Lepisosteus oculatus: one gene and its partners. The protein of the gene in region 3 interacts with the protein of the main gene of each other region in a biochemical or structural test. Links are inferred from orthologs where the notes say so. Each region holds a gene or a part of one and is shown on either strand. Other genes may lie near its edges. The genes, in order: ros1, kita, ptpn6 and platelet endothelial cell adhesion molecule-like.

Region 1 (7,308 bases), on a different chromosome or scaffold from region 3:
AGCCCTTCATTTGTAAAAACAAATGTCTCGTTGTAAAATTCTGATGATTGCTTTCTATAATTTAATGAAAAGTACTTGTGGAGGCCAATTCTTTTTGCTCAGTCAGTAGTTTAGTTCATCAGCAAAGGTACTGTAGTTACTAACAGTAAACACTGAGATAGACCCAACTGTGAAGGCAGTTTTATCACCTAGTTCTGTGTAAACGTTCTACCATTTGCAAACTGCTTTCTCTTTACTCATTCTTGACTTCTACAGCTACCTATTTGGAATCATTTGAAGAATAATATATTTTATTATACAATGTTGCATTTACACAGCCCATGCTAAGTAGTTGCTATAGTTGCTATATCTCACCTTCTTTTTGTGTTGTTCCCTCAAATGCTTTGGAAGGTGGGCTTCTCCCTCCTGGTGATTCTGCCCAGATAGTCATTTTATATCTGCTGGAACTCACCAGTTCTTCAGCAGCCATCTGTGTGTCAACAATGTCCCTGTACTCCTTTATCACAGATGAATTAAATGCAGAAATCCTCACAGTGTATGTCCAGTTCTGCCAGGCAGCAGGGCCTTAAGGGAAGAAAATCTAGATTTCAGTGCCCTTTTTGAAAATGTATTATCAGTATACTCAGCTATAAAGTAATACAATTCTTTCTGGATTTTGTTCCAAGAATACATCGTTATTATGGTGATAGATGCTTCACTGGACACAAATATTTAGGGCTGTCTAAGTTAGGAGATCTACATAAGAAAAAGAACATCAAAATATGAATCATGGCAGCCCAACCAATTACTATACTTTGGAGTATATTAGAATATATCATAATAAGACACATTGTACTGGCACACTCACTTGATCCAATCATTGCTGCAGGTCTCTCCCACTTCAAGGAAGCATTGTTTGATCCAAACAAGACCCGAACATTTTGGGGACTTCTGGGTACTGGATATGGCTGACTGAATTCACTAAAAAAGTACAAGTTGTCAAACCCAAAGTACTCAAAAGGAACAGAACAGTCCACCACGTATTCATTGTAGAAAAACAGATCACCAAGGCGTGTCTCATGGAAGACTGCTCTTCCATCTGTGAGCATGAAGAAGTTGTCTTCATAAGTAAGACTCATCACTGGGTCTACCAGACTTACAGGGGGCCGAATGATGCTGAAAGATGAGCCATCTAGAAAGGCAGATGATATACTTCTATCACTTTCATTAAAATACAGCAGTCGCCTAGACTGAAAGCTGACAACAAAGTCTCGAATAAAGTCACTTCTCACAACCAAGCCATTGTAACTCTTCTGCCCAGGCAGCTGTGGGAGAGACATTCGATAAATCCCATCATCCACCAACAAGAATATGTATCTGAAAAAGAAAAGCACATTAAAAATAACATCAGTGAAGTAAAAATTATATACCAAGGTTTTTAAAATCAGTAACAGATGGGTAAAACCCAACTCATGATCCATACTACTGTTTGTTCATGGTTTCTTAAGAACAGGATATGAATAATGCTATAATGGTATTTAAACATCATAAAAACATAAACTTTATAGTTTTTCGACATGAATGATAATGAAAAGTCATTAAGTGAGGAATATTATTTGCTGATATTGCATCATATAAGGAAGTAGGCACAATCAATGGATCCATGATTTTAAAAACAGTCCTGTAAATTTCTTTTTTAACTTACTCTGGAATAGTAAGGAAACAGTCAGTAGAAGACTACACCTGAAGGTTTGATTTTATACTATTAATTAAAAAATTAAAGTCTCCCGATCAATTTGTCAAGATCCAGCAGTCAAATGCTATTACTGTATACCCTATGTAAGCACAGACCAAATCATTTATCCTTTCTTTAATTATTGAACAGTCAGAACTCTTCTATAAACACATAAAACTGCATTAATGTCACCATCAGAATAAGTACAATTATAGAAAAAATATTTATTAATATTGTTTTCTGTTTCAAAAATGGACAAAAATAAACAAAATCTGGCATATTTTTCACAAAGACACTAACTGAATTTTTATCTGTAAGCTGAATTGTATATGCATGCTTACCCATTGTAAGGATCTGCAATAATTTTTGAGGGAAAACTGTGGTTAGCAGCAATAAAGTCCACTGTGTTGTTGCAGTCATCTATACTGCAGAAGCAAACCTAAACTCAAGAGGAAACATCATATAACAGGTTAACATCACATGATGATGTAATTCATCACAATTAGAGAGTCAAAGAAATATAATTACTAAAACTTTTTTTCCAGATGCATAAAGCCTTTTTGAAGGCTAAGTACTTTTAGAAGTACTTCTAAAAGTGAAGACTAAAGACCTGAAGACTAAGCCTAAAGACTAAAAACCTGGAGACTAAGTACTTGCATAAAAGTGCATTTTGAAAAGCACATTTACATTATAGACTTAGACTTAGTCATTTTAAATTGGTGTAATAAAACCTATTTAACTTTTAAATTCTTAGCCATTAAAAATTAGGCGTAAGCTAATGTATGCAACTAGCGATAAACACAGGAATCTGAATAAGGACCACTAACAAATGTATATCAGTAATGTAGAGTCTGCTATGATTTGCAAAATAGTGAACATCACAGACAAGGAGGATTAACACTGGAGGAGGAGCTGCAAATATAATTCAAAATGTAAGAAGTGTAAGAAGTTGGAGTCCGCGAAATGTGAATCAGTATCGTGGAAGAAAGAGGTCATGAAGGGAGGGACCAAGGCATGTGGTCTAACAAGATCTTACAGTCCAGTTTGTGGGTGACGAGGGTGATATGTCATGAGTGTGGGACTCTTATCCTGTGAGTGATGAGCTTGGATTCACAAAAGATAAATCTGCAGATGTCAAGACCCTACTGTATATATGAATCATAACCAACATAGACAAAGACATACTTTAGAAAGGCATCACATGGTGTAATTTTAGGTTTGTACCTGTCCACCCATGACAAAATAAATATTTTTGTACAGCCAATCGACGGATATTGACGTGATCTCCACAGGACCAGTGAACACTATTTTCAGATCTGAAACGTCAGATAAATGGAGTGCTCCTTTCCTCCAGATGTGGGTTCCTTCAGAGAAGTAAATATGTTTGGAGTTGTAGCTTGCAGAAATCCCTAAAAAACAAATCAATATTTAAATATGAATCAGATATTCTTTTTCTGAGTAATCTTTTTCTTTATTGTTTTTGTAATGGAAGAATAAAAAAGTAGTTTTACAGAGCATAATTAGCAATCGGAGTGGCAGGGTTAGCTTTTCTGCAATGCGCCGTTGTGGCCCTAGGTTCAGATCTGGAACCAGGGAGCTATCTGTGTGGACTTTGTATGTTCTTCACGTGTTCAAGCAGGTTTTCTTCAAGGTTCTCCAGCTTCCTTCTACAGTCCAAAGACATATTGGTAGTTTAATAAGCTTCTGGGAAAATTGGCCTGAGTTTTTGTAAGCGTGTCTGCCCTGTGATACACTAGCATCCTGTCCAGGCTGTAGCCTGCCTTGAGACCCTGAATTGGAAGAAGTGGTTAGAAAATGGATGGATAATTAGCAATAGTCACCTGAATAAACAATAGCAATGTCAGGATTAGTAGTAGTTATGCTCTGTGAAACCACTGGAAAATGTGTTAGTTTTGTCATGAATTATACTTGCCACTAATATTATATTGTATTGATTCAGTTGGAAGACACTCTGCTCCTGAAAATAAATCTGCCACAGTCTTCCTCCTCAATGAATTCATTCGTGACAGAATTAACCATTGTTTTTCGCTGGTGGCTAAAAAAAAGTGAAAATACATAAAGATGTGAGCTGCAGCTCTAGTTTAATTTCAGTTTGATCAAACTGACAAGTGTCTCAATCGTCAAATGTACTTGCTTTCTTTTGCCGTTGTTATCCCATTCCTCTCTGCTGCAGGTCCTTCTCCTTCTGTATTTACAGCAGCTATGATTATCCTTCCAAAACAAATTTGAAAGCATGTTCATTATGTCTAAGCATCAGTTCAGTTCCAGAGAGAAGGATGATTTTTTCAGGTCTTAAACATTTATTTCCATTAAATTTTGAAAATCATATAAACAAAGCTCATCAACATCCCTCCACACATATAATTGTAATGGCAAACCCCAAAACTCAACCAGAAAAATACCAACAGTCATCCATTCACTACCCTTGACATAATGCAGTGCAGATTAAATAACCATGTACAACATCACAATTAAAATTAACCTTGTTAATTAATTAAAAAATACAATATCAGTCATTTTCAATCTGTCTACCATGTCAACATTGGTTCCCTTTTTGCCACAGAACACACTACATCCCCCCTTGCCTATGCCTCTAGAAACAATTCAGTCTGTTGGATGAGTCCTTAATAAGCAAACAGCTCTTGTTGGAGCATTAGTCACATTATTCATCATACTCTTAATCATAGCCAGCTGAGCCAGTCTCAGTAAAAAATTAGCCAGCTCATACTTATATTTCACCTTTTTAGATTTCTTTATCCAAAGAATAAACATAATGCCTGTGAACAATATACCCAGACCTGCAAAAATAATTCAATCTCTGGCTTCAATCTAAGCGGTGTATGAAACTTTGAATGTCATCGCTGTCTGTAAATGAAGAGGGCACTTTTCATCGAGTCCTGGGTGAAAGAATGCCTTTCTTCAGAGATTGGTTGCTCTGATGGTAGAGTATCTCATACTTTCTATCTCCAATTTTTTTTTTGCAGTAGTGGCTTATACAAGATAATGTCCAATGTGTGTCAGGAAGATCCTTCAGATCCTTATAATGATTTACTTTTATACAAGTCCCTTTTCTCCTCAGGATAAAACCAGAGTTCTTTATTAATCCCATATTTTTGCAGTTTCCCTTAATGATCACATTATTAAGTTTTCATTAATAAGTGTATTAAAAAGAGGGGGTTCTGCTTTTAGGATAGAATCCCCAGAGGAAAACCGATTGAGCACCCCTGATCCATGCTCCCTCCACTCCCACAAACTAAAACTATAAGATCATTGCCCACCCTAGTCTGACCGCATTCTAATTTCTAGTGTTTTCATCCAGTAAGTAACCTTTGAGAACTCCTTCTTAAATACATGGAAAAACTAGACATCTGTGGATCGAGCACAATAGAATATTATTGGTTCCTTTACAAGCCAGTATAACCTTACAGTCTCAAACTCGCGCCTTAAGCCATCTGCTAAAACACAGGTAAACAGGATATCAAACCTGCTATTATTCATCAATGGCAGCTGTCTGTTGAACAGCAGCCTCCCTTCTTTGTGAAGGAAAATGTCTAGAAGAAGTAATGTCTCTTTAGAGGACTAGAAGAGTACTATAAACTCTGTAGTGCCCAGATTCAGAAAGCAGCAACCCTACTTGTAATATTAATTAGTCTCCGCCATCCTTCTTCTGCTGGCAAAACAGCAAACTTCCTAGCAAACTACAGCAGTTCCTGTAAGACTTGGTGAGGGGTTGTGCCACAGAACTAATAAGACTAAATTATTCATAATTGGGACCCTCATCTGTATGAGTTGTTCAGTAACAATTATCTCCAACTCTGCCATCTACTCTTCCCCTGATCTCCCACACCCTCCCAATTCTGCACGGGTGCACAATCTACTGATAGAATTACCCTATCAGTAAAACTTTCTGACTTTACTGGAGTACCGTGGAAAGTCTGGTGATATGGTGCTGTCCCACACCCCTAAGAGAAAATAATGTTCTATGACAATTAATCCAGCAAATCACACTATCTTAAATATGTTCCAGCACTGACTTAAAACTATAATATCCTGGCTTTTACAAATGAACAGAATTGGATATGGGAGAGCTCAGTGCACCAAATCACCTGGAACACATTACTATAGAATAGGTGTCCCTTATCTTATCGACTGAGGAAGCCACAGGGGCCAGAGTCCAGGTGAACAGACAATTTTACTCATATTTAACGATGATCAAACCTGGGAGGTAATTAAGCCTTCCTGGGAACAGTACAGTTAAAAGTGGGCCCAAAAAGTATAGAGACTTTTTCAAGAGAGGAGTCAAGGCAGGTATAAAAAAGAAAATTAACTGTATCATGAGTGGGTTCCTCCTTCAGAATGCCCGACTACAGAAGTCTTCCAGGCAATTTGAGCACTGAAGAGATCGATTTTAGTATCTTAGAAAGGGACTGATATCTTATAGTTGTAGGAATAATTATTTATTTTAGCTGTACCTCCCAGATGAAATAAATGTCTTGCTTGTATCACCATACACTCTTTTGGGGAGAAAGGTTTCCATTTGTTTAGCATCTGTTTTTTTAACAGATTATGTACAAGATCTTTTGTACAAGAGTAAAATCTTTTATTTTATGGCAAATATGTTTCTCCTTTCCTTCTTGTACAGGTTTGAGTTCTGTTTCCTGGTTCTATAAAAGGCCAAAACCAGGTAATCTCAGTCCTTTAAATAACTGTAAATAATTCTATAAATATAAAAATAATTGTATTAACACTAGTGAAACTAACATTAAAGTTATTAAATCTATTGTAAATGTAAAATCCATATTCTCTTGTCACTTTATATAATAAAATGTTTAATTAATATTTAATACAGATTTAATATTTGTTATGTCTTTGAAGTAATAATAGATAACCTGGTCTCTTTAGACAGAATTTAAATATTAAAAGGTACAGTAAATTAATAACACAATGTACTTTAATTAAGGTTTTTTAATCTATTAGAATTTTTTTCTTTTGAATGCAAGAATTACAGATTATTATGTTTGCTGCTGCTTGTTACTGTAATGCAGCTGACGTGTAAACAATATTGTGTTGCAGTTTGTTACACAAGTACTGTATGTCAGTTTTCATAATACACAGTTTCATTTACACTTTTAATGAAACTCTTCACTATTTTTTATATAATTCTAAAACATAAAAGGAAACATTTCTGTTTAGATTTTTTATCATATAGTCCTTAGTTTTACATGAGAAGAGACAAATCACAATTCAAGGTTAGTTCTTAGAAAGTTTTTTGAAAAAGATTACCTGTATGTAGTGTTGGGGAGTGTTGGGAAAAAAGATGCTTGGAAGACATTGCTCCCTGCAACTTGATGGAGACTCTGTTTCTCACTGAGGAGGTTCAGATTATAGCCAACAACTGGTCCTCCAGGATGAAGAGGAGGGGACCAGCTGATCTCCACAGTGTCAGGACCCAGGCTGGCAACACTCTGTATCACAGGCGCACTGGAGGGAACTTCAGTACAAAAGGAGAGAAGCACTGAGTGGGAAACTGGAAACTACATGCTTCAAGCATGTGGTTCAGATCTAGCTAAAAA
Region 2 (7,072 bases), on a different chromosome or scaffold from region 3:
GATATGCAATCATTTAGCGAAAGGCTTTGTGATCAGACAAGAAAAAACTGGACCCTTTTGATCTACATGCCAAGTGTTATATCTGACACAAATACAACATCGATTATCACTCAGTCAAACCCACCCCTGTCGCCAAGCATGGTGGCAGCACCATGTTATTCTTCTGCTTCTCATCAAAAGAAGAAAGCTGATGAGAACATAGACAGAGCAAAATACTGGCAAATCTTAGAGAAAAACCTACTCGGATCTAAAACGCAGACAAAAATTACTTTTCCGCAAGATATACTAGAGAACCAAAGCACAAGGCTAAAGCTGCAATTGTGTGGCTTTAAAATAAGAAAGTTAATGTCCTTGACTGCCCCATGAAAACATGTACAAATTATTTCAACATCTGTAAATACTATACACATATGGAAGCTACTGACTGAAGCTGTAAATGAAAGGTCATTGATTTCTTTGTTCTGCAAAATCCTGGATTCAAGTTAATTATGTACTGAATGTTATAAAGACAGACAACAGACAGCCTGACAGGATACTCAGCCTGCACGCAACTGTGAGGGATAAATAGTGGAATAATTTCAAGGCAAACAGATTTATGTTATTTTCACTTTCAAATAATAGATTAATTTCCAAATGTAGAGCAGCACTGTGCTACAGTGGTCAGCATCGCTGCCTCGCAGCACTGGGGTCCTGGGTTCAATTCAGGACCAGAGGTGCGATCTAGAGCGTGCATATCATTCTCCACTTGTTTGTGTGGATTTCCTCCCATAGTCCAAAGACATACTGGTGAGTTAACTGGCTTCTGGGAAGACTGGCCTTGGTGTGAGTGTGTCTGTGTGTGTGTGGCCTGCGATAGACTGGGTGTATCCAGGGTGTATCCTGCCTTGCACCCTTTGCTTGTTGAGATAGGCTCCATCTCCCCCACAACAACGTCCTGGATAAAGCAGTGTAGAAAACAGACTGATGGACAGATTCTAAATGCCTAATTTTAGCTCTAAGGTTTACCCTGCGTACCCTCTAAATCGGAGGGCTAATAAAAAGTCCACAATGAACAATCGTGACCATCGGACTTGCAAGGACAAGACAAAAGACTATATTCAAATCATGTATTGCATGACAATTACATTACAATTTTGTACATGTAAACATGTACAGAGTTGTAAATTCCGCAGACTAGGTTTGTTTTGCTTGCTCCTCCAGTCACACACCTTCCGCCTTTCCTCACCGAGTTTGCAACTGTTTAAAGATCCAAAGAGAAAAAGATTGTGCAGTCAAAAGCACATAAGAACACACTCTTTGTCATTTTTTGATACAAGGGCTGGATGGCTTAACTGCTTTAAAACTACTAATGCAAGATTATAGCCTCGCAAAAAGTCAGATTTGTAGCATTAGGCTGTGGGATAAGACGGTGTTTCTCCAATACAGACTAATTAGATACTTGTTTAAATGGGAAGCCTGTTATTACTGCAGAGAAAAACACTTTGGGGATTTAGCTTGTGAGCGAAAACAGAAGCATACATAAATTCACGCAGTCCTGTCCTCTTCCGTGAAGTCCTTGATGACCAGACTGATACAGCTTGGACACTGAGCTTTAACTGTCTCCACGAATGTAACAACAATCCCTGTCTTCAAGAGAAAAGAAATACGTCTGCTCCTTTACATCAGGCTATGGTATATTCATTTAGATTTGCTCAAATTACCGCTTCACTGTCCAGCCAAAGCGCTCTGACTACTCGTACTACTAGTATCACGTTTCCAAACCGTTTTCCTCAAAGGGGCTACGGTTGCAACTTTAATTTAGCAAAAGCTTTGTTGCTTTTATAATGAACGTACGTTACTATCATACGAGTTGCAAGCGCTGGAAGTTTGTCTTGTGTAAGGCGTGATCCATTCACTGCCGAAATGAAACACTACCTACATCCGTGTCCAGGCAGTTTTTAAAGCACCCTTAAAACAAATACGGCCGCTCCTTGATGCTCCACCTCCACGTTACCTGTCGTACCTAACAACAAAGTCAGTCTGCTCCGAAGCGCCTTTTAATAACATGGTATGTTGTGCAGCAAGCATGCAAATGTACTTTTGTATTGTAACGACAGAAAAGAAGGAATCGATTTCTTCATGTAAAAAGTGGTTAAATAGATCATTTACGAAGAGGAGAATGGAGAACACACAGCATTTTAGTGATATGTAATTTGTTGTACAATAAATGTTTTAAATTATTAACGAATTAAGCTGTTAGTCGAATTCAGCGCCAGCACCCCTGCCGATGCGCTTATCCTGCTACGTAAGCCAGTGGTGTCGTGGAGTACGACATTCATATTACAGGTGCTCTGTTGTAATGTATCTCTTTATAACTTTTTGTAAATATTAAATAAAAGAGCAAAAGTCTAAATACATGTAACATTTTTTCCACAACTAGCAAACAACTGTTACATTAATGAACTGTAGTTTTTTTTCACCGATATCATAAATAATTCACTATATTATATGCATGAAAGAATAATGTAACTTTAGGGGTTAAAACTAATATTTTATAGAGTCCTGTGCTGATAGATGTTATTAATCCAGTTCACATAAATTTAAAATGAGAAAGTGCTTTCCTATGTTAGGTGCAGAGAATCGAAACAATTTAAAGTTAAATTATACACTAACCATTTGAGATACACAAACAAGATTTTGACATCCCCAATTAAAGTAACTTCATCCTCTTAAAAAAAACTTTAGTTTAAGTTTAGTTTAATGTAATTAAACTTAGATTTCTTAAAGTGAAATCCTGCTCCGTTCAAGCATCACTGATAAATCATCAAATTCCTACAACACGCATTAGCGACTTCAGCCTGCTTTCACCGGTGAAGAACCCTACCTTTTTCAAACCATAACAGCATCAAGGTAAACAACGAAACCCAGGTATATCCCATTGTTAACATTCCATTTATCTGTTTGTCCACCTCTCTGCTATAGATCTGCTTTGTCGCCTGAGTTGCGCAGCACTTAACACTACAGCCTGCTTCGTTCCACCTATTCAAGTCTTAAAGGCGCAGAACACTTCCTACCAGCAGCCCTTCAGTCTGTCTCCAAGACACCACCGCAGGAAGGAAGAAAGAAGAAAGTTCCTTTAAACGTAATATGATTGGCTTAATTGGATAATTAAATTGTTTTACAAGACTAAGTTACAGTACTGCAAAAAAATTAAACGAACTTGTAAATATATCAATAAAACATTAACAAAATAAACCTCAGCTGCCAAAGTTTATTTTTAATGCTAAATTCGTGTATTTTAATACACTAGTTTCTTACTGTCACCTCGAAAGCAAACTAGTCAGTTTTTCTGTACCCTGAAACACTGGGCACAACGGAAGTGTCCCACAAGCAGGGATTTTGTTATTCTAGTTGACCTCGTATAAAATACATATTTTATGTGGACTTTGTTTAGTTACAGTGTATAAGTGACACCTCACATAATGATTGGGCTTTGAAGTCAACATTTGCAGATCTCAAGGATATGATATCTTTGCATTGAATCATTCATCTCTAATATCTGCAGTATAATTTTATAATCAGTATGACAATTTTCTGTGGTTTGTAATGCTTTGATCATCTTAAGTAGTGAAATTATTAAAGATGCTTATAGTGTCAGAAAATGAACTTTGTGACCAAATTCCTGTCTTTCAGTTCCTTTTTTTGTTTGTTTTTGACTGGTCTTTCACACCAGAGGTGGTGGCTGCCAAGGTGCTTGACTGGAACAAATATGAAACTGTCTGCAGAGCTCAGTGTCTACCTCGGGGTAAAATGCACTTTAAATATGACAATATTTTGTTAAAAAATAAGTTACCTTCATAGTAGTGGTTGCAAACAACTCCAAGAACTCGGTGCTTCTAAAGCCTCTTTTCACAGTATGTCAAATTCTCAGTGAACACAGTGTCTGCTGATTTGGAATTCACGTTCCTCTTATTTCTGTGCAGATGAATTTTTAATGATGTACAAAATTCTGCCAACAGCTGTAGCAGATATCCTTCTTTAGTACAACTGTATAAAAGGATTTGACATCAGGGCAGACATGATGACATTTGCCCACCAAGTGTCTCTCTGGGGGCTGAGACATAAGCAGGTTTTATGACTTTGAACAGTGATCCAGGAATCTGTGTCCAGGAGCTAATCTGTCTTCTTTTCAACATAAATATGTAAAATACAATTAGTTCCCAAGGGTATAAGCATATGTTGTCAGTTATTTTACACACTTATTAAGAAGATCAAGTGTGATCAATACATGTCGCACACAATTTAAAAAGATAAAAACTATGGTTTTTAACTCTACTATAATTGTACTGTATATATATATAATGTTCTATATAGTCAATTCATTGGCCGTGTATATTTGTTTTGTTTCAGTGGATTGTGGGATTTTGAACTGCTGGGTGGGGGACACTGAGGTCTATTGGTATGTCATTAACTCTGTGGATATTTGTGTTTCTGTGCTGAACAGCTGTGTTTTCATGTGTATGTAGTGGGTTAGGCTCCTTCAAGTTAGTATAGAAAACCAATGTTGTTAGTGAAAATGCAAAGGGTAAAACATCTTTTTTAAGAGAATCAGAATAATAATGAGGATAAAGGTCAGAGTTCTTCAACATTTATTATTTCTTCCTCATAAAATGTGCTTCCATTCACAAAAGCAACAACATTTTATGAAGTAGTTCAAGTAGGAGGCTGCATCAGCATGCGTAGCAACAACAAGGACACAGGCATGCCTACTGACGTTCATGTTTGCATCCATCCATGCAGTATCCCAGTATCTATAGTGTATACAGTAGCTGCCATTGCCAATGGCCAAAGCCAAACATAATATAAATGTCAGGCCTACATTTTAAAAGAAATCTGTTGTATCTTCCATCATAAATTTGCCATTTCACAGTGAGGAATTTTGGAAGTGTTGACCGGTTGTTCTGAGTGGTTTTGGGGATACCCAAGGGGAGACAGATATTCTTCACATACTCCCATGAGATACCATCCTTTTGCCCAAGTTCCTTGTAGTGTTTTGGTGACACATATCTGTCAAGGCTGCAGGGTTTACTTAATATTAGGGTGTATTGAAACAAGTAGTATTCCATGCTGAAAAAATAAGAGAGAAAACACAACATTTTGGCTGTAAAGCCTTCTTCAGGTGTGAGAAAGACAGGGCAGACAGCAAAGATTAAATAGCACGAAGAACAAAAACTGAGAGAGGGGAGGAGGCGGGAGGGATAGAGAGGCAGAAAGGCCACTCAGGAAGTGCAAAGTGTAGAAAGGTGAAGAAAGGTGTGAAGTCAAAACCTGCATGAGAATAGAGAAGATTACACAAAAATAAGTTGGTCATTGAGAGAAGGGGGAAGGTGTGAACCTAGTTTCAGGTTGAGTTTTGTTTCTGTTGTCTTTCTTCTATGAGAATTGAGAAACCCTTCTTTGAGAACAGAGACAGTGAGATCAGTGTGATCATGGCCGTCTGAAGTGAAATGAGAAACTATGGGCTTGGAGAAATCTTTAATCTTCACAGCCTGAACATGTTCGCTGAAGCGGTCTCCTACTTTCCGGTTTCTCCAACATAGATAGCTGGGCATTTTTTGCAGGACATACAGTAAGTGAGGTTGCTGGAGGAACAGGATGTTGTCTGGGTGATTCGGAATTGACCTGAGGGGCCCTGAATGAACGTGTGTATTTGCCGGTGATGTAGCAAGTTCTATTACTGGGGAAGGTGCCGAAGGTGCGCTCAAGGGAGCTGAGAACCAGATGTTTACGTAGATTGGGTGGTCGGCGGTGTCACGGTCATCATCCCTCCTCTGGAGGGCGCTCCGACCTTTTAGTATTAGTTCCATGATTGCGTGCTCCTGTCTCCTGTTTTATCCGTCACTATAAAAGTCATGTGCCTCCTAAATTCTAGGTTCAGTACTGGAAGAGGAATGTCTGAAGGCCCGACTATCCACCATGCTCAGGAGAAGCCCGAGGGCAAGGCCTTTTCCCCAGGCGTCCTGACCATCTGAGTCTGGGTCTCGGAGCGCCTTGCTTCGTTATGGTTTTATTTTCCATGTTCCTGGATTCCTTTTTTCCTGTCTTCATCTTGGATTGATCTCCCAGCTGCCTGGACTGTATTTCCCTTTTGGACTCCCAATGGACTTGTTCAGAACCACCCCCTGTCAGTCCTCCCATCCATTCTTCTCTGAGTCTTCCCCATTGCTCTTTTCCAGTCACTTCCAGATTATACCGTCTGCACAGGGTTCTAAATACGCACTACACGGGAGTCAAGACCGGCTCCCGTGACAGGCCGTATGAGATGATTGGGCGGTCAGAAAAAAGGGTATCGATGAAGGGATAACCCTGTAAAATGGAGTAGTTGTTAATAATGGTCCTGGGGATAGAAAGTGTGTTAGAGTGGTAAGGAAGCACCAGTGGAATGCGGTTGTGAGACCAGAAGTGGTGCATTGATTGCAACATGTGGAATCTCACAGTGGTGTGGGGGATTTCATCCTGAATTTGGCTGCGATGTGTTAATGTGTTCAGTCATGTTGTTTTATCATTATGGAGGCAGAGTCTAGAGGCATCTGTGAATGACATAGTCTACACAAGACCCAAATAATTTCGTAGCATTAAAAAACAGGATCTGATACACAAGACAAAACCAGCTAAAGTACACACTCAGAAGTCAAAGACTCATGATGTTTTTGTTAATAAGGCTGCAAAAACTTGCCACGCAGAAAAAAGCTTAAGAAATGAGAGGGAACATTTCTTTTCCATTTTTCTGCCAGTGGAGTGATGATCCAATAGGCTCCTCTTGCCTCTTCCCCCAGACTCGTCCACTGCTCACATGTCTCTGTGGGGGAACTTGCCTCCTGTACTTGTTAATAATCTCTTTGATGCCTGTCCTCCTGTCTTGAAGCACTTCAGGAAACTATACCAAGGAACTATTCCTGTTTTTAGTTGACATAGACATTGTTAGATAATGTATCTTTACATTATATGTATATATTTGTTCATTGTATCCATACACAATTTCTTTAATGAGCAACATACAACAAAAATACAAATAAAGATCAAAATTTTAGTT
Region 3 (7,798 bases):
TCCTTATGTCCCAGAGTGAGACATCAGCGTATGATCTTATGTCTCCTCATGTCTGTGTTCACAGTGAAAGCAGGGCGCGGGCCCCCTCCTTACAGACTGATCGCAGTGTTTCTGGGGCTGCTGTGTGTTGTTTCACTGACTGGCTTCATAATCCAGTCTGTCTACTGTGAGTATAACGCTGTGTGGAACTGTAGCCGTTTAATAATAATAATTATTACTAAAATTATTATTAATAATGAAGTCTCCCCCACTGTCCAATGGTGTGGTAGTGATTTTTGATGTGATAAGATCCGTGGATCTTTTGCTTCTAATTGCTAATCTAATTGCTTTTAGGAATTTTTGAACAATCTGATCTGTACGGATACCACCAATCAAATAATAATAATAATAATAATAATAATAATAATAATAATAATAATAATAATAATAATAGTAATTCCTACATTTATACAACAACTTTTTGGACACTCCACTAAAAACACTTTACAGGTAATGTTCTAGCCCCACCTAGATGATGCACCAGTCCTCTCCCCACACACCAGCTCTTAGTGGGATGGAGAGCAGAGTGATGAAGCCAGTTCAGAGAGGGGGTTATAAGGAGGCCATGATTGGTAACAATCAGGGTAAAATTGAGTCAAGACACTGGGGTAACACCCCTACTCTTTTCAAGAAACACCCTGGGATTTTTAATGACCACAGAGAGTCAGGACCTCAGATTAATGTCTCATCTGATGGACAGCACCATTTTTTTACAGTATAGTGTCCCCGTCCCTATGCTGGGGCATCAGGACCCGCACAGATTGCAGGGTGAGCGCCCCCTACTGGCCCCACTAACACCTCTTCCAGCAGCAGCCTCAGCTTTCCCAGGAGTCTCCCATCCAGGTACTGACCAGGCTCACACTGCTGAGCTCCAGTGGGGCTGCCAGCGCTGAGTCACAGAGTGATCCAGCTGCTGGCTGAGAACTTGTGTCGCTGCCTGAGTTCCTTTGTCAGCAGCTTCCTGCCGGCCCGATACCAGTGCCTGCGTGCTTCCATATGGTAAAGACCGAATGTCTATTCCCCACCAGGTAACGGATTCCTTCACGTCAACCAATCACAGAGCTCTCTACCAAGAAGGAACGAGCTGGATGAGCTCAGTGCAAACTATTCTGCTCTGGCTGCTGCCCATGAGAAGTTAGTGGAAGAAAAAGAGGAGTTAAAGAGAGAAAACGAGAGACTCCTGTCCCTGAACACAGATATCAGTAAGCACTTTCACATGCAATGTTACTGGAAAACAGGCATGATGGGGACTTTTTTATTCTGACACACAAAACGAATCATCTCTGCTTTGTTCTGCACAGTCTGCTCTCCCCAGTAGCTGAGCATGCCTGATAGCACAGCTCATTCGTGCTCACGAAGTTACCTACTGTATCTTACTGAAAGCATTTCCAGTGTAATGAAGGGGGGGTTGGTTGTTCAGTCCTGTGACGGGTCAGCCCCTGCGAGGGGCAGAATAACTCTTTTGTTCCATCCCGCTGCAAAATCCATTTAGCATCGCATTGATCTCCAGCACCTGGGTCGCTAAAGCAATTAAGCACCCATTGAATTCATTTTGTCAGAAAGGTTATAAAGTCAGGACAGCGTGTTGGCCCAGTGGTAGGCATTGCTGCCTTGCGTGGGTGCTCCAGAGACGTACTGGTAAGTTAATGAGCTGCTGGAAGAGCATCCCTGGTGTGAGTCTGTGTGTGCCCTGCAATACACTGGCGTCCCTCCCACAGTGTATCCTGCCTTGTGCACGTTCCCTGCCGGGATAGGCTCTGGCTGCCATGTGACCATGAAATGGATACAGGAGCTTAGAAAAGTGATCTGAAGGAGATTCAAAGTCCTGGCAGGGCATTTAGACACGTTTGTCTAACCACTGGGACAAACGGAGGGCTGGGATGTCCCCATACACTCAAGAGACATGGGATTGAAGTACACTGTGTTGGTCAGGGAACTGGACTGAGAGGAATCTGCTGTCACTCTCTGCGTTCTCCCTGTACAGAGAGGCTCTGCAAACTGTGTCCTCAGGACTGGGAGTTTTTCCAGTCCAAGTGTTACCACTTCTCGACTGGCAGGCTGAGCTGGAGGGACAGTCAGGCTGACTGCAGGAGCCAGGGGGCTGACCTGGTGGTCATAGACAGCAGACTGGAGCAGGTAAGTGACTATGAAGGGGAAGGGGGGCGAACGCAATTGGGGAACCATAGCGTGTTGACAAGAGATGTTTGGGAAGAAAGCTAGGGCCTGATCTTGCTTATTTCCTCCCAGCCATCTCCCTCTCTCCCTGGGACCTCCCTTCACTTATCTCTCTCACACCCTTGTGGCAGCTCCTCAGCTCATTCCTTGCACTAGTAACAGGGCGGGAGGGATCAGCCTCATCCTAGTAGCTAGGCTGCCTTTCCCTCAGCTAGGAGAGTAGGACCCACATGGACTGCAGGGTGAGAGCGCCCCCTACTGGTCCCACTAACACCTCTTCCAGCAGCAGCCTCAGCTCTCCCAGGAGTCTCCCATCCAGGTACTGACCAGGCTCCCACCTGCTGAGCTCCAGAGGGGCTGCCAGGGTGATGTGGATGTTGGCAAGTTCACAAACAAAGGGAACTAACCTACGTCTCCCCACCAGACTTGACCATAGCACATCGATTGTATTTGGGTGGGGGGTTTCTAGTAGCGCTCCCTTTGCTATCACGTTAATAACCAGCATCACGGATGAGTAACTCTGTGTCTCCCGCTCAGCTCTTTATATCGAGACAGAGCAAGGGAGGCAGTTACTGGATCGGACTGAGCGATGCCGCCTCCGAGGGCACCTGGCTGTGGGTGAACGGGGCCAGAGAAACCGGAGGGTGAGTTCGGCGGAAACGCCACCGGCCCCTGACTGTCTGGGCAGAACCGGGAAGAAACACACGCGATGGCCGCGGAGAGACGTTAAATGGAGAGATTCTGCTGTTATTTTATATTTTGTTAGACCTGATTCGGCGAAAGGGTGTGTTTTTCCTATTAATCTGGTCATTATTTTGGCGAAATCCACAGAAGTAAATGGTCCGATACCGCTCCTGTCCATTCGTGCTTTTAAGGTCGAATTGCTTTTATATTTAAAGAATCAAAAGATAAGACGTGCAATGGAAACATGTTAAAAGCTTTATTTTCAGCTTTTGTCACTGAGAATTCCCCTGGCTGTGAAGGGCGTCTATTTCTGTATCGGTTTGACTATGTTGTCTCCCTTTTCGTATTTTTGATGTTTCAATGAGAAACTGTTCAGTTCCAGCTCAGTCCTGGAACAGCAGCATCGCGCTTCACTGCTCTCTCCTGCCAAGAACAAACAAAAAGGCCGGAATGAGAACTAAACGTGAACTGGAACTTGACAGGTACTGGATGCCGAGGCAGCCGGACAATCACCGGGGCAGAGAGAACTGCGCCGTGATCGCCTCCCGAGCCGCGGGAGCCGTGAGGAACTGGAATGACGAAGAGTGCGGCCGGACCCTGTCCTGGATCTGCGAAGCCGAGAGTCCCCTCCTCTCCGCTTAAGACGCTTGGCGGCTCCGAGCAAAAAAAAAACACCCGTGCTGCTCTTCCGGAGCCGAGCGCCTCGCCATCAGTCCACGGAGAGCCCGAAGAACCCACAGGGCAGTTTTGGCTTGCGTGACGGCGGTGTGAACAAGTCGTAACTGCGCTTCACGGGCCGATCCGCTCGCTTCGCACTTCACGCAGGACGCAAGCAGCTACAGAGGAGGACGGCAAGGTGATCCAAGGATCACGTAGCTCCAAAACATTCAGTTCAACTCGGCTGCAATTAAGAAAGCAAAAAAAAAAAACAACAACCCGTAGAGATGGGGAATTCTGACCTTGGACGTTATGTGGATTTGGCTATTGAAATTGATTTTTTTTTAATCTAAATGTGCTTTGGTGTTCGCTTCGTGCTCAGCAGCTGAGCTTTTTTTTGTACTTTTGCCTTTTGTACAAGCGTACGGAGCCCGGGAGGGGCCATCGGTGTGTGTGTGATGGGGAGTTATATCGAGGGAACGATTTACGATTCGTGCGCACGAAATAACGTTTTCTCTTTCTTCCGTTTTCGCACGCACATAGAAAGTTTAAAACGCCCGCATTGTCCCCTTCTCCTGACGACAACGCTTTCAAACGCTAGTTAACATGTTTTTATATCGGTACAATAAAGCATATCTGACACTGCTGTAGATAAGGATAATGGATAGAGATGAACTGATTAAGTTTTATTTTGGTTTGGGGATGAGTTATTAGGGCACTGTAGCTACTGTACTCTTCAACTATCGGGACTGCACCTCTCTTTCACTGCTAGTGCCACGTCAGTGCTTGCGAGGGGGTTAGGAAACGTTATTTCGTGCGCACGAATTAAAGAAAACGGGGGCACGATGTAGGTATTTCGTGGGCGCGAATTTTAAGTCGTTCCCTCGATATAACTTTGTTTTCTTACTGATGGTCCGGCCTCCGAACCAGCGCGTCCTCCTGACTCTGCAAACCCCCTCCTGCTGTCGCGCTCCCTCAGATAAATGAACCACTGAGACCTGTCACTACTGCAAGAATCACATTTTGTTCTGAAACTCCAGAGCGAATAGCGTATCGAGTTTTGTAGGCGGTGCAATAAAAACCAATGTGTGCTCCTGTGGATATCCGCTTCAAAATGTTTAGAATAAAAAGTTACTATTCTGCACTTGACAGAACATGTTCTGTGCCTTCGAGCTTGTAGTATTCTGGTAGCCATGGTTACCCTCGGTTCCATGCATTCCAGTGGCTATGACGACCATGGATTTGCGGAAGGTGCGGTGTAGTGCTGTACGGCAGAAAAGCCAAACTACAACTCCCATCAGTCTTTTAGGCACGCTGGGCTTTTGCTGAGGGCTCATGGGTATTGTAGTTTTTTTTGACCGTGCCATTTGGTTAGCATTAAGAGGTCCTGGCAGACTGCGTGTTCACACACGAATCGCCCCGACATCATCGTTACTACACTTCTACAAACATCCCTGCCGACACTAGGGGAGAGAGTTCAGTTAGTTCGCTAGTGCTCTCTCCACTCGCGATACCTCCCCCCGTGGCTGTTACACGACCCCGGAACCACGCAGAACCACAAACCAGGTGCGCTTGAGGGGCAACCAGCCATTTTCTCCCTTTCTATCTCTTTCTCACCAGCTCTGCAGGGCTCCACTTCACCGTTATACTAACGGCTCACAAACCTAGTTAATATGTAACTCGACGAGTACAGTTTATTGTAAAGATTTAACCAGCGCTAAGCTAATAATCCATTCCCCTTTCCGTTGACATTACAAGGCTACCCAAGTGAATCATTAACTGACGCCGTGTGCCCCCAAGTGTGCAGAAGCCAGCGCTTCGTTCGCCAAAGTGCGCATGCTCTGCCCTCAAGCATACGTCAGCGTGCTCGCGTATAGGATAGCCGTCGGTGTCGAGTGACCCAGCAGCGCTGTCCGGAGGAGAGGGAGCTGAAATGGTAAAGGCACATCATTCATTTATCTCTGTGGTGCAGCCGTTCCTGAAATAAAACCGAATGGGTGTCGCTGCTGTACCTTTCTGTCTTTATTTTGAGCTCTGTAGCTTTCAGTTCCAGTGTATCGTATGTCAATAGCAAGCATATCAGTAGTTCTGATGTGCTCTCTTCTTACCTGTTCAGTCTGCGTTGAGTGCACGTAGCCTACTCTTATTGCGTTAGAGACATACAGTATACACACAACAACGTGACCTGAACTTTTTAAACTTGCCCATTGCTTGAAATACGGCAAGTCGCCTTAGACACGCATAACAAATTCGTCCCCATTTTTTACATGACAAGGTGTATTTGCAAAACAGCCGCTGGGGTGCCCCCAGAGAAGCTTTGCAACTTCCCCGTGTGTGTCGCTGATGACTTTTTGAGCGGCCGTGTAGTAAAACGGAAAAGGATTGGACAGGAGGTTTTGAACGGTTCAATGGGGTGTCAGTTTGTATCAAGGTTTCGATTGGGAGTATGGGAAATGTAGTCTTTCTTCAGCCGGACTGTGTATACGTCAAAGTCCCTTCTTTGAGAGTTTGAAAAGGTATTAATCAGCATGGTGCCGAGCTACCAGAGACACAGAGAATAGCTTCTTCTTTGGTAAATCGCAAGAAAAGGTTACAGATTACTTTTAAATAATGCAAATTATTAAAAGAGTTGTTATTGGTTTATCAGCATTGCTTCAGATTATGAAACGTTGCTGTTTATCTCTAATACATTAAATTACGCTCAAGATGTAAGGGGATTTTTCGCAGAAAAATGTAAATCGGAAAACAAAGACCCAAATCTCTTTTATGGTACTGAAAGATCTCACCTTTGCTGTTTCACATTTCAAGGGTTATTATCGTCTGGGGGAAGTTTGTTTTACGTCATGGTCCAGTACAATAATATAACAAGGAAGACAAAGATTAGATAGATAGATAATACTTTATTAATCCCGTAGGGAAATTGATGTGTTACAGCAGTCCAGCCCAAGACAAGCAAAACAGACATCAGAATAGTTATAAAACAAAAGACAAACAAAATAAATAAAAATAAATACATAGGTGTGTGCAAAATGTAATCAGAGAAGACAGGACAGTAGTGCCCAAGGAGTTCATTTACATTGTTTGGGACAGATATTGCAGAGGGGATGAAAGATTTCCTAAATCTGTGACTTTTAGAGTTGGGGACACAGAGGTACTGTATCTCCCCAATGGTAGTAGTGTAAATTCACAGTGAAGCGGGCGAGACACACTCTCCATAATGCCCTTGGTCTCCTTTAGCCATGAAACCAAAGCAAAATTTAGCACTATATCTTTTATTATCTCCCTTATTTGCTGTATCACAACACGTTGCCCGTTGGGGATAATAAGGACTCTCTCTCACATGCTGTTCTACATATTTGGTGAGTTGAACTTTTACTGAATACTGTGTAAATTATATTACAAAAGGAAAATAAACAGCTCGATTAAAGCTATACCCGAGTGAGATGTTGAAATGTTTGCATGCAGAAGTTTATTTGTCCGCTTTGCGAGTCTGATTAGAGCTCCGATCGTGTGACAAGTGTTATATTGTTACTCAGCAGAGAAATCAAATCGTTTCATTTCAATAGAAACGGATTGAATGGCGGGTGGCAGTCTGTGTGGAGTTTGCATGTTCGACCAATGTTCGCATGGGTTTCCTCCCACATGCTGGGCTGCTGCCCCCTACTGGACATGGGGCTGTACTTCCACGAGTTAGCAGACGCATGTAAACAATAATTATATACATTACCTCTTGTAGAATAAATGCTTTTATCTGGCACTTAAAAAAGCTTAAGAAGGTCTTATTGCAGAGTATGTTTTCTGTTGTTCTATATTTTTTACTGGCGTCTGTCTGACAACGATATTTCTAGCTTTGTAGCTGGGTTAAATATAGAGCCATGCGTGCTTTTGGAAACTACAGAGTTCTGCTCCGTGTGTGGTGCCAGTGTGGTGTCAGGAATATAAAAGTGTCTGTTTTATTTAAATTAGCAGATTTTCTAAATTGATTACTTGTTGTTGACATCAGTTTGATTATTTGTGATTTAACACAATACACATGCACAAGAACTAAGTGACATAAACAAAATAAGTAAAGTCCTTACACTTATGTAGTGCCTTTCTGGACACTCCACTCAAAGCGCTTTACAGGTAGTGGGGATCCCCTCCACCCCCAAGCAGTGCGCAGCCCCACCTGGATGATGCGACGGCAGCCATAGTGCGACAGAACGCTCCCCACACACCAGCTCTCAGTGGGGAGGAGAGCAAA
Region 4 (7,937 bases), on a different chromosome or scaffold from region 3:
AAAGTGCTTTGAGTGGAGTGTCCAGAAAAGCGCTACAGTGTATATAAGTGTAAGCAATTATTATTATTATTATCCAGGTGGGGCTGCACACTGGGGGTGGTGGAGGGGATCCCCATTACCTGTAAAGCGCTTTGAGTGGAGTGTCCAGAAAAGCACTATATAAGTGTAAGCAATTATTATTATTAATTATTATTATTATTAGTTTTTCCCCAAATCATTTCTTACTAATTGTATAGAAAGCATTACTGAGTATTTACTCACATAAAAAGATTGATAATATATGAGTAGTAGTCCATGTTACTTTTTCAAATGCATTTTTACTGTTTATGACAAACAATATTAACAATCTTTTATATGCGTCGTAAATTCTACAACAATTTATGTGCGGACCAAACCCATGTTTGTGCACTGGTACAAAAGGATATTTTTTTTCTTAAAGAGCTGATAAAGAATACTGCAATGGACACTAAATAAATAATGAAAGGTTTTCTGCATTATTACAGTAAAGGAACGATAAGGGGAGAAGTTACATTTCTCAGGGATAATCAAGGAGAATCCTGTGCTTGATGAAAGGTAAATAGCTCATGGCTGAAATGAATGTCGGTCAGGGGTTTTCCAAGAAAAAATAGGTAACATATTAGATCCAGTGCTCTTCCTAATTTATAGAAGTGATCTAGATTCTGATAGTAAACTAGTGAGACACACTGGTGATACCAAAACAGGACAATTAGCATACAATATAATTCTCTGTGGGTGTTTACTAGAGGTTGCTGGAGTTTTTTACAGGTTGCTAAAGACGACAAATTTCCCCTCCAAAATGACCAAGACGATATAGCTGCTCCGCACTTATTCCAGATACATTCCTGGGCTCAATGCATTGTCCTCGACTGATGGGCTAAACAAACAACCTTCTTGGTCTTTAACAGAGAATATTGACTGGACCCGATTCAAGTATTTCAAACCCTCGAAGGCACCGACAAGATCAGCCCCGAGGACCTCGGTCACCAGCGCAGCACGGACCCGCAGACACAAGTGCAAACTGTGTGGGAACGCGTGAAAGTCTGAAATAAGCTACAGCACACAGCCATGATCTCAAAACCGATGCCCCGGCTTCTTTCAAACAAGAAACTGAAATGCTAATTAGCTACTACGGTAACTACTAAACACACTAAACATTATAGGCTGAATGGCCTTCTCTTGTTTAGGACCTTTATTAGTGGTTCAGAATATTGCGGGGAGAATGTCAATTGACTTATAGGTGCTACCGCTTGTAATGTTCTCATTGTTTAAAAATACTGCTGTGGCTGATTGACACGATAGAGTGGTTAAATGCACAATCAAATCCACGCCTAAAGGCTCTCAGGTTGCCATGAAGTCGTGAAAACCATGCCGAAGGAGGGGGAAAAAACAGGTTTCGAAACAATTCTGGCAAGAGGTCGGTTCTATTGTCCTGTAGCCCCGCGCGCTCAGTGCTGCAGCAGAATTCCTTTCCTACGAGAACAGAGGAATGCCAAGACCCCATCAGTAAACAGAGGAGGCCTCAGGAAGGAAAGCCGCCTTTTTAGAGCAACAGAAAATCAGAGCCCCAGGGGAGTGGCAGCACAAGGCACAGGGAGCATTATTTTAGTATCCTGTCCCACCCAGGGCCACAGCAAGCCAAGCCACAAACACCAGCGGCCAGGCCGTAGCACAGCGAACAGGAGTGGCCCATGAACTGTATCCCCACTGCCTGCTCTCTTCGACATGAGCCTCAGAGTCCACTGTTTAACACTAAGCAGCACCCGACCTCCTGATTGCACTGGAGATTCACCCCCTTGGGATCCTGGCTCCTGCACCACCAGCATGGGCTGATGGGATCAGATCAAGCAACTGACTCCTCTCTTTCTCACACGTCTCATTTCAGACAATTCATGTGATCACCAGTCTACAAAAACATGTCCCTCAAAGCCTCAGACTGCAAACCTCTTAAGCACCTTCATCGAACAGGTTTACGTAGCTACTCAGAAAAAAAAAGATTCTGAAGTCCTTTAAAATGTACACGTCAGCTTTGGATTTTGACTTTTTGTTGTTTTTCTTTCAGTACTAATTTTGCGCAAATGAGACGTCGGTGTCTCACGGCTTAAGAAAAGTTTTGTCCCCTCCCTGGCTTTGTGAACTGTTGAGTGAAATTCATTTCTAAAATAATTATTTGTACGTTTTTTTTCTGGACACTTGTGCCGCTACCAGCTGCCTTCGCTGGACAAAGCGGACCCCCAGAAGCTCAAGAGTCACCATGGAAAGACACAACATGGTGACCCTAGAACACGTTTGCTTGTGCTTTTGAAAAACTATTCAAAAAATATTTTTTGAATAAAATAGAGGAAAAGATTTGAAAGCAAAAACAAAACAGCAGCCCTGACAAAGCAGAAACGTGAGTTTTCACTCTTTCCTCTGCTAGTTCTTCCGTCCACAAATACAACATTTTCCCAGCCCAAAACAGAGGAAGCAGAGGTTGGGAAAATTTCCACTCCAAAAGATAACTACTGACTGAGGATGAGGAGATAAGGTGCTTCAGCTGGCTGTCCTGTCTAAGTGAATTAAAGTGTTTTTGTTCTGCTTTCCTGCATAAAAAGATGGTAATTGCCTGAGGTTAAAACAAAACTGTCGAAGGAATAAAATTTCCACACTTACCAGTGTGAGGTTTGACACCCGGTACAGCTGGGGTGGGGAAAAAAGAAGAGAATTATTTCACTTCTAACAGTCGTGTTTGAAAAGGATTTCTAAAGCAAAACCATCAGACAACTGAAAATAACACTCGTGTCTGCACGCACAGGTCAGGAGAACCACTGCGAGGAAGAAGTAGCGCTTCATCCCGGGAGAGGCTGGAGTCCTCCTGTCGAACCCTGGCGCAGGAGCCTTGGTCCCAGAACCCATGGCTGTGGTGGTGTCTCTGAAATGGCAACCAGTGTGGAGGGAGTGAGCCGAGCTCCGGAGTGCAGCGGCAGGGAGGCTCTGGCACAGGGGGGTGTGAGTCCGTGTGTGTGTGTGGAGGCTGGAGCCTGTGCAGGGCGGGGGGGCTATAGTTATCACTCGGAACCTTCTTGGCTTTGTTGAATTTTCCAGGAAGTGACTGCTGCTTCCTGAGGATGTGCGCTCCAGCTCAGCGCAGTCTGGGATTTTCGTTGTGGAGCACACTCCTCTCGCACCCCCCAGCGGCACAGGAACCTGTTTTGGACCCGATGTGCCCCGAGACGCCCCCCCCACCCTCACCCACCTGCCTCACACACACTCCTGCAGCCCTGTCTCTCCAGACGGTCTGGTCCATAAAGGATGCCTCTCTCCTGACTGCAGAATATGTGCAGCACTCTCCTCCCCAGTCTGAGCAGTAGCAGATCCCACTTGTTTCTGCCCATCAGCCTCTAAATCCTATATTGTTTTCCCAATCCCTCGCTTGTTTAAATTGGAATATTATTTGCATGACCAAGAGACACAAATACCAACACTAAAATAAGTTCACTCCTTTTATAGTGTTGACTAAAAATAACTTTAATATATAGCTTACATATTTTTAAAGGGATACCTTTTTCTGTAGTGCTTGAAAGAGCCCAGGCTAATGCCTTCCACACGGTGGCTGGGTAGGTTGTTCCGCGCTCCCACCACCCTTTGTGTAAAGCAGTCCTTCCTGTTCGCGGTTTACACCTGTGCCCTCCTGCTTTAAGAATTGCATCAGAGAGCGAAGAGAACATGCATGTACATATGTTCCCACGGTCTAACACAACAGACACTGTGAAGTATGTTTCTGAAAATATATTTGGTAGTGATCCCGTGACCATTTGCTTCTTTGAAAATTGGTCTGGTGGTTTCAGATGTGAAGACGGTTAAGGGTGTAGTCGACCCACGTGAGAAACTATTAGCTGAAGTGCGAAAAGAGTATCTTGTCTGTGCATCTATGATGTCTTTGGTAGGGCTGGTGAAAGGAGAAGTGAGGGAGGTCAAGTTATTTTTTATTTCTCCGTTTATGAGTCAGACTGCCCTTTCGTTCTGAACACCCTCCCGTGTCCTGAGATGGCAGCAGCCTCCTGCTCAGCAGGGTCAAACTCCTGTGTGCTGCTGTGTTTGGACTCCTGCGTCTCTGATGCCCATCCAGCTGGCTTCAAACTAAACACCTGGTCCCCCTCTACTGGCCATGTGTGGGAATGACAAGGCAAGCCTCAGTCGAAGGGGCTTCCATCTGCTGCTTGCTCGGTGTATTAACAATGGGGGAAAAAAACCCAACTGCAGGCACAAGTCACAAGTTACCTGTCTGGATTGGACTTTTCCGCGCCAGCACAGAGAGGAGAGGGTTGCAATAGAGTCAGGCTGGGGTAGGTTCTGCTCACATGCACCGGGATCAGATTAGACATATGGTCGCTGCCTGAGCCACCCCTGCAACCAACATTCAGAGCAACGTTGACCTTTTTTCTGCATTTCGGCACACTTCTATAATCTGGTCTAATAATCGCATTTTGGGGGGATTTATTGTTCATCTTATTGGCTTGATGGAACTATTGCTTTTCTTACAAACACTATTGATTCTAGCAAACATGATTGATGAAAGTGTGAGCGACTTAAGGGCGCTAGCAAGGATTACTTTTGCATTCACAGCTTTGCCACTTGCTGCAAAGCAAAACAGGTGTGTGTGTGTTGCTCTTCGCATTACACACCCCCAACACGACAAAACCAGTTTGAGGGAAATGTGAAGAAGAGCATTACCTCTTCTGCCGAGTTCATGCTCTGTCCATTCCTGACCTTCTGGTCTCATTTCAGGGGTGTTCTGCTCCCTGTGACCCCACAACAACCCAACACTCCTTCCAGGGGGATCTCCTGCACTTTGGGGTGCTAAAAGGTCCCGAGAACCGGAGAAGCTCCACATTCCACACTGGCGAACCTCTGGTGTACGGCATGCACTTTCTTCCAAGTGTTTCTTATACAGTACCTCATTCCTCTGAGCGCTGAAAGCAACGAGCACGGATAGCAGTGGGTTAACATTTCTACAAAGGAAACTCCCTCAGAAATGCAAAGAGTTAGTAATCTCCCTCTTGACATAACGTACCAGTATGCAGCAGGAAGATTTCACTGATGCCTCCCTTCTCCACCTTAGGCCTAAATAAAAGAGGGCTGTGTAGTTCAAGGATCCCAGACTTTGAATAGAGAAACAAAGCTAATGAAATGAAAGTTATCCGACATGAAACTACTAAGCGCCTGCCGGACACACAGGACTGATAACACAATCTACAGTGTCTGGCGTTAGCTTAAACAAAGAGCTTTGAAGGGTGGAGGGTTTTGTTCATTGATGTGCTTAAAAAAATAAAATGTTTCCACGTAGCAAAATCTACATACAGGGCAGCGCCTCCCCGGTACTTTCACTCCATTTCAGCAGACGCGGTCAAGCCCACTGTGTGACAGGCAGGATCTTCAGCCCAAGCACTGGCGCAACCAAGGAACAGGCGTGAAAAAGGTTTCGTGTGTATTTGGTTTATTTCATTGCCGAGTTTTCTCCTGTTTTACAAACCACATTCAACAAAGCAGTCTCTACAGCCAAGGAGAACACCTGATTGTTTTTTTAAATCATTCGTGTGTATATATATATATGTTTTAGTTTTTCTTATTCTAAAATGTTAAAACGTCTCACAGCAGGTTTTAACAGAGGAGGACATAGTGGCTGGACAGTGGGAGCTGTGCTGTCTGTGAATATAAGCTAGTAATGCCACCCCCCTTCCACTAGGGGGAGATAGTGCGAAGTGGAGCACAATACGTGGATTAGACAGCAGACCAAGTGTTGCTGGCGGCCAGGCCAGTCTGTGGGCCTCCTTTAGTAGCCTTTAGTATCCTCTCTAACTATGACAAGTCAAACAGAGACACCAAGCCAAGCAGATATCTGAACTGATGAAAGATTTTTACCACATTTTAAAAAAACTGGGAAGCCTAACCGCTTGAAGAAGTCCAAGGCCATCGCGTGGCCCATCACCCTGTTCACCCCTAATGTCTTCCCTACACAGCCCAGGGAGGAGTCCGGTTCACAAAGCCAAAAACTAAAAAGCCCCCCCCAAAAAAAGAAAGAAAATCTCCAATAATAAAAACAAAAACATACAAAGCACACCCAAAGAGATGCAATTAACAGATTAATATACGTGATACAAGCTGAATATGAACGCCGCTGGACAACGAGATCCAACGTGGAGCCCCGCACGCACACAGTCAGTCGGGACAAAGCAGGGGTGTGAAAGCACCAGTCTGTGCGGTTCCGAGTCTCGCAGGGAAGCCGCGGGCAGCGGGGCGACCTCCCCCTGCGCCACGGCCTCCGCGGTCGCCTCCGCTCCTGCGCACAGACCGGATCGAGACCTCCTGCTCGGTCATCCTCGTCCTACAAACGGACGTTCGCAATGAAACCCCCGTCTTCTGAAGGAAAAACAACAACAACGGAAAAAAGCGTGTCCGTCGCTCGTAGAAGACAATATCCCTTTATCCCTTTTAATCGGAAGGGGGGAGGGAGGGAGGGGTAGGCGTCCTCAGCAGGTCCAGAATACGAGCCTCTGCGCAACACACAGGCCCGCTGTGCAGCGCTGCAGCGAGGCCCGCAGGTCTGTCTCGTGATCCGACAGGCCGGGGTGGGGTGGGGGGTGGTCAGACGCAGACCCGGGCTCCCCCAGGTCGCACGCGGCAGAGGGGGCCCTCTGCGGTCGGCACGAAACAGCCCAACAGGGAAGGAGGACGCAGGAAAAAAAAAACCACCACCCTGAAAGGAAGGCAATGCTGGTGTGTTAAAACTCCCTGGCAGCGGCTGGGTGGCAGTGCCACACTCCCATCACCCACGGGTGCAGGGGGAGTCGGCCACCGGCTGCGCTCTCTCTCTCTCTCGCGGCTGCCCGCTCCGGGAGGTCCTGAGAGGGGCGCAGGAACCCAACGAGGAAGGGGACGGACCCAGAGAGAGCCAATCACGCGCAGGCCACTCCTCCACACGGGGCCCGTCCATTGGCCTGGGGGGCACTGTGGGGGCGGGGGCACTCTCCCCTTCGATCACAGTTCTGCTGTCAAAACACCCCTGGAGCAAAACCCGATACCATCCCAGCGTGAACGTCAGCACAGCGGGATAGAACAAGAACAAGAACAATAAAAGGTGAAAAGGGCTGAAGTACAATTTCATAGCTCAAACAGCTATACGAAGGGAATCTCCTGGTTCAAGAGCAACCCGAGTCCTTACTGGAGTTATTTCAGACACGAGGGCGCAATACCAGATATCCCCATCGGGTGTAACTTAGTGATAAGGCTGTGCCACAGTGGGAGTCTTAATTGTCAATTTGACACTTTATTGCTTTGCTGTGTGCCACGCCCCCTCGCAGGGCCTCCAGCGGGACGATAAACTGCAAGGCCGCCCGCCACTCCGCGCCACGCCCTCTTCAGGGGGTGCAAGCGACAAACCCTCGCCCCCCCCGTCCTCGGACAGGCGCGGATCACACAGCAAGGAACCCACAAAGGCAGCGCACCCCCATTGTGTGGTTTAAAATATTTCTATAACCTGTATAGGCAAATAAATATACACGCTCCTCAGCACAGCCAAATCTACAATCAGTAGCTCATAATAATAATAATAATAATAATAATAATAATAATAATAATAATATAATAATAATGACAATTTATGAGTAGCAGCAGCCATCACTAGACATTCAAGTTGGTATTTGGATATGTACACTATAAGTAATTTACATCAGTTTTCGGGGGTTCGTGAGGCAGGGGCCAGTGTGCTGGCGTTATCTCAGTCTCTTTTCCGCAGAGTAGATGGACATGTAGAAGTCGTTGCTGCCGACCGCCAGGTGGGGCTGCGAGAGAGAAGAACAGCGAGGTCACACATGATGCAGAACTCACGGCCGTGTGGACGAGCAGCTGGGCACGCCCTTAACAAGACCAGGAACACCAGC

Evidence for each region.
Region 1: of the proteins of ptpn6 (region 3) and ros1, one has a biochemical effect on the other in vitro, tested with the Homo sapiens proteins (2 studies listed by BioGRID and IntAct). The link is inferred for Lepisosteus oculatus from reciprocal best matches to the Homo sapiens genes PTPN6 and ROS1.
Region 2: the proteins of ptpn6 (region 3) and kita form a complex in vitro, tested with the Homo sapiens proteins (2 studies listed by BioGRID). The link is inferred for Lepisosteus oculatus from reciprocal best matches to the Homo sapiens genes PTPN6 and KIT.
Region 4: the proteins of ptpn6 (region 3) and platelet endothelial cell adhesion molecule-like form a complex in vitro, tested with the Homo sapiens proteins (2 studies listed by BioGRID, with this or other methods). The link is inferred for Lepisosteus oculatus from reciprocal best matches to the Homo sapiens genes PTPN6 and PECAM1.

The regions. Positions count from the first base shown.
Region 1 is NC_090697.1:32,854,117-32,861,424, forward strand, and holds the start of ros1 (proto-oncogene tyrosine-protein kinase ROS), read right to left. Parts: upstream 3,012-7,308; 5' UTR 2,951-3,011; coding exon 2,939-2,950; intron 2,154-2,938; coding exon 2,056-2,153; intron 1,357-2,055; coding exon 848-1,356; intron 565-847; coding exon 355-564; intron 1-354. UniProt on the Homo sapiens protein: Receptor tyrosine kinase (RTK) that plays a role in epithelial cell differentiation and regionalization of the proximal epididymal epithelium. NELL2 is an endogenous ligand for ROS1.
Region 2 is NC_090696.1:78,571,321-78,578,392, reverse strand, and holds the start of kita (mast/stem cell growth factor receptor kita), read right to left. Parts: upstream 3,022-7,072; 5' UTR 2,928-3,021; coding exon 2,864-2,927; intron 1-2,863. UniProt on the Homo sapiens protein: Tyrosine-protein kinase that acts as a cell-surface receptor for the cytokine KITLG/SCF and plays an essential role in the regulation of cell survival and proliferation, hematopoiesis, stem cell maintenance, gametogenesis, mast cell development, migration and function, and in melanogenesis.
Region 3 is NC_090718.1:2,757,493-2,765,290, forward strand, and holds the start of ptpn6 (tyrosine-protein phosphatase non-receptor type 6), read left to right. Parts: upstream 1-4,785; 5' UTR 4,786-5,491; intron 5,492-7,798. Other genes in the region: CD209 antigen-like protein C, read left to right, coding at 65-166, 1,068-1,241, 2,024-2,175, 2,752-2,858, 3,381-3,540. UniProt on the Homo sapiens protein: Tyrosine phosphatase enzyme that plays important roles in controlling immune signaling pathways and fundamental physiological processes such as hematopoiesis.
Region 4 is NC_090704.1:45,207,527-45,215,463, reverse strand, and holds the start of platelet endothelial cell adhesion molecule-like, read right to left. Parts: upstream 3,009-7,937; 5' UTR 2,914-3,008; coding exon 2,811-2,913; intron 2,698-2,810; coding exon 2,671-2,697; intron 1-2,670. Other genes in the region: rptor (regulatory-associated protein of mTOR), read right to left, coding at 7,770-7,838. UniProt on the Homo sapiens protein: Cell adhesion molecule which is required for leukocyte transendothelial migration (TEM) under most inflammatory conditions.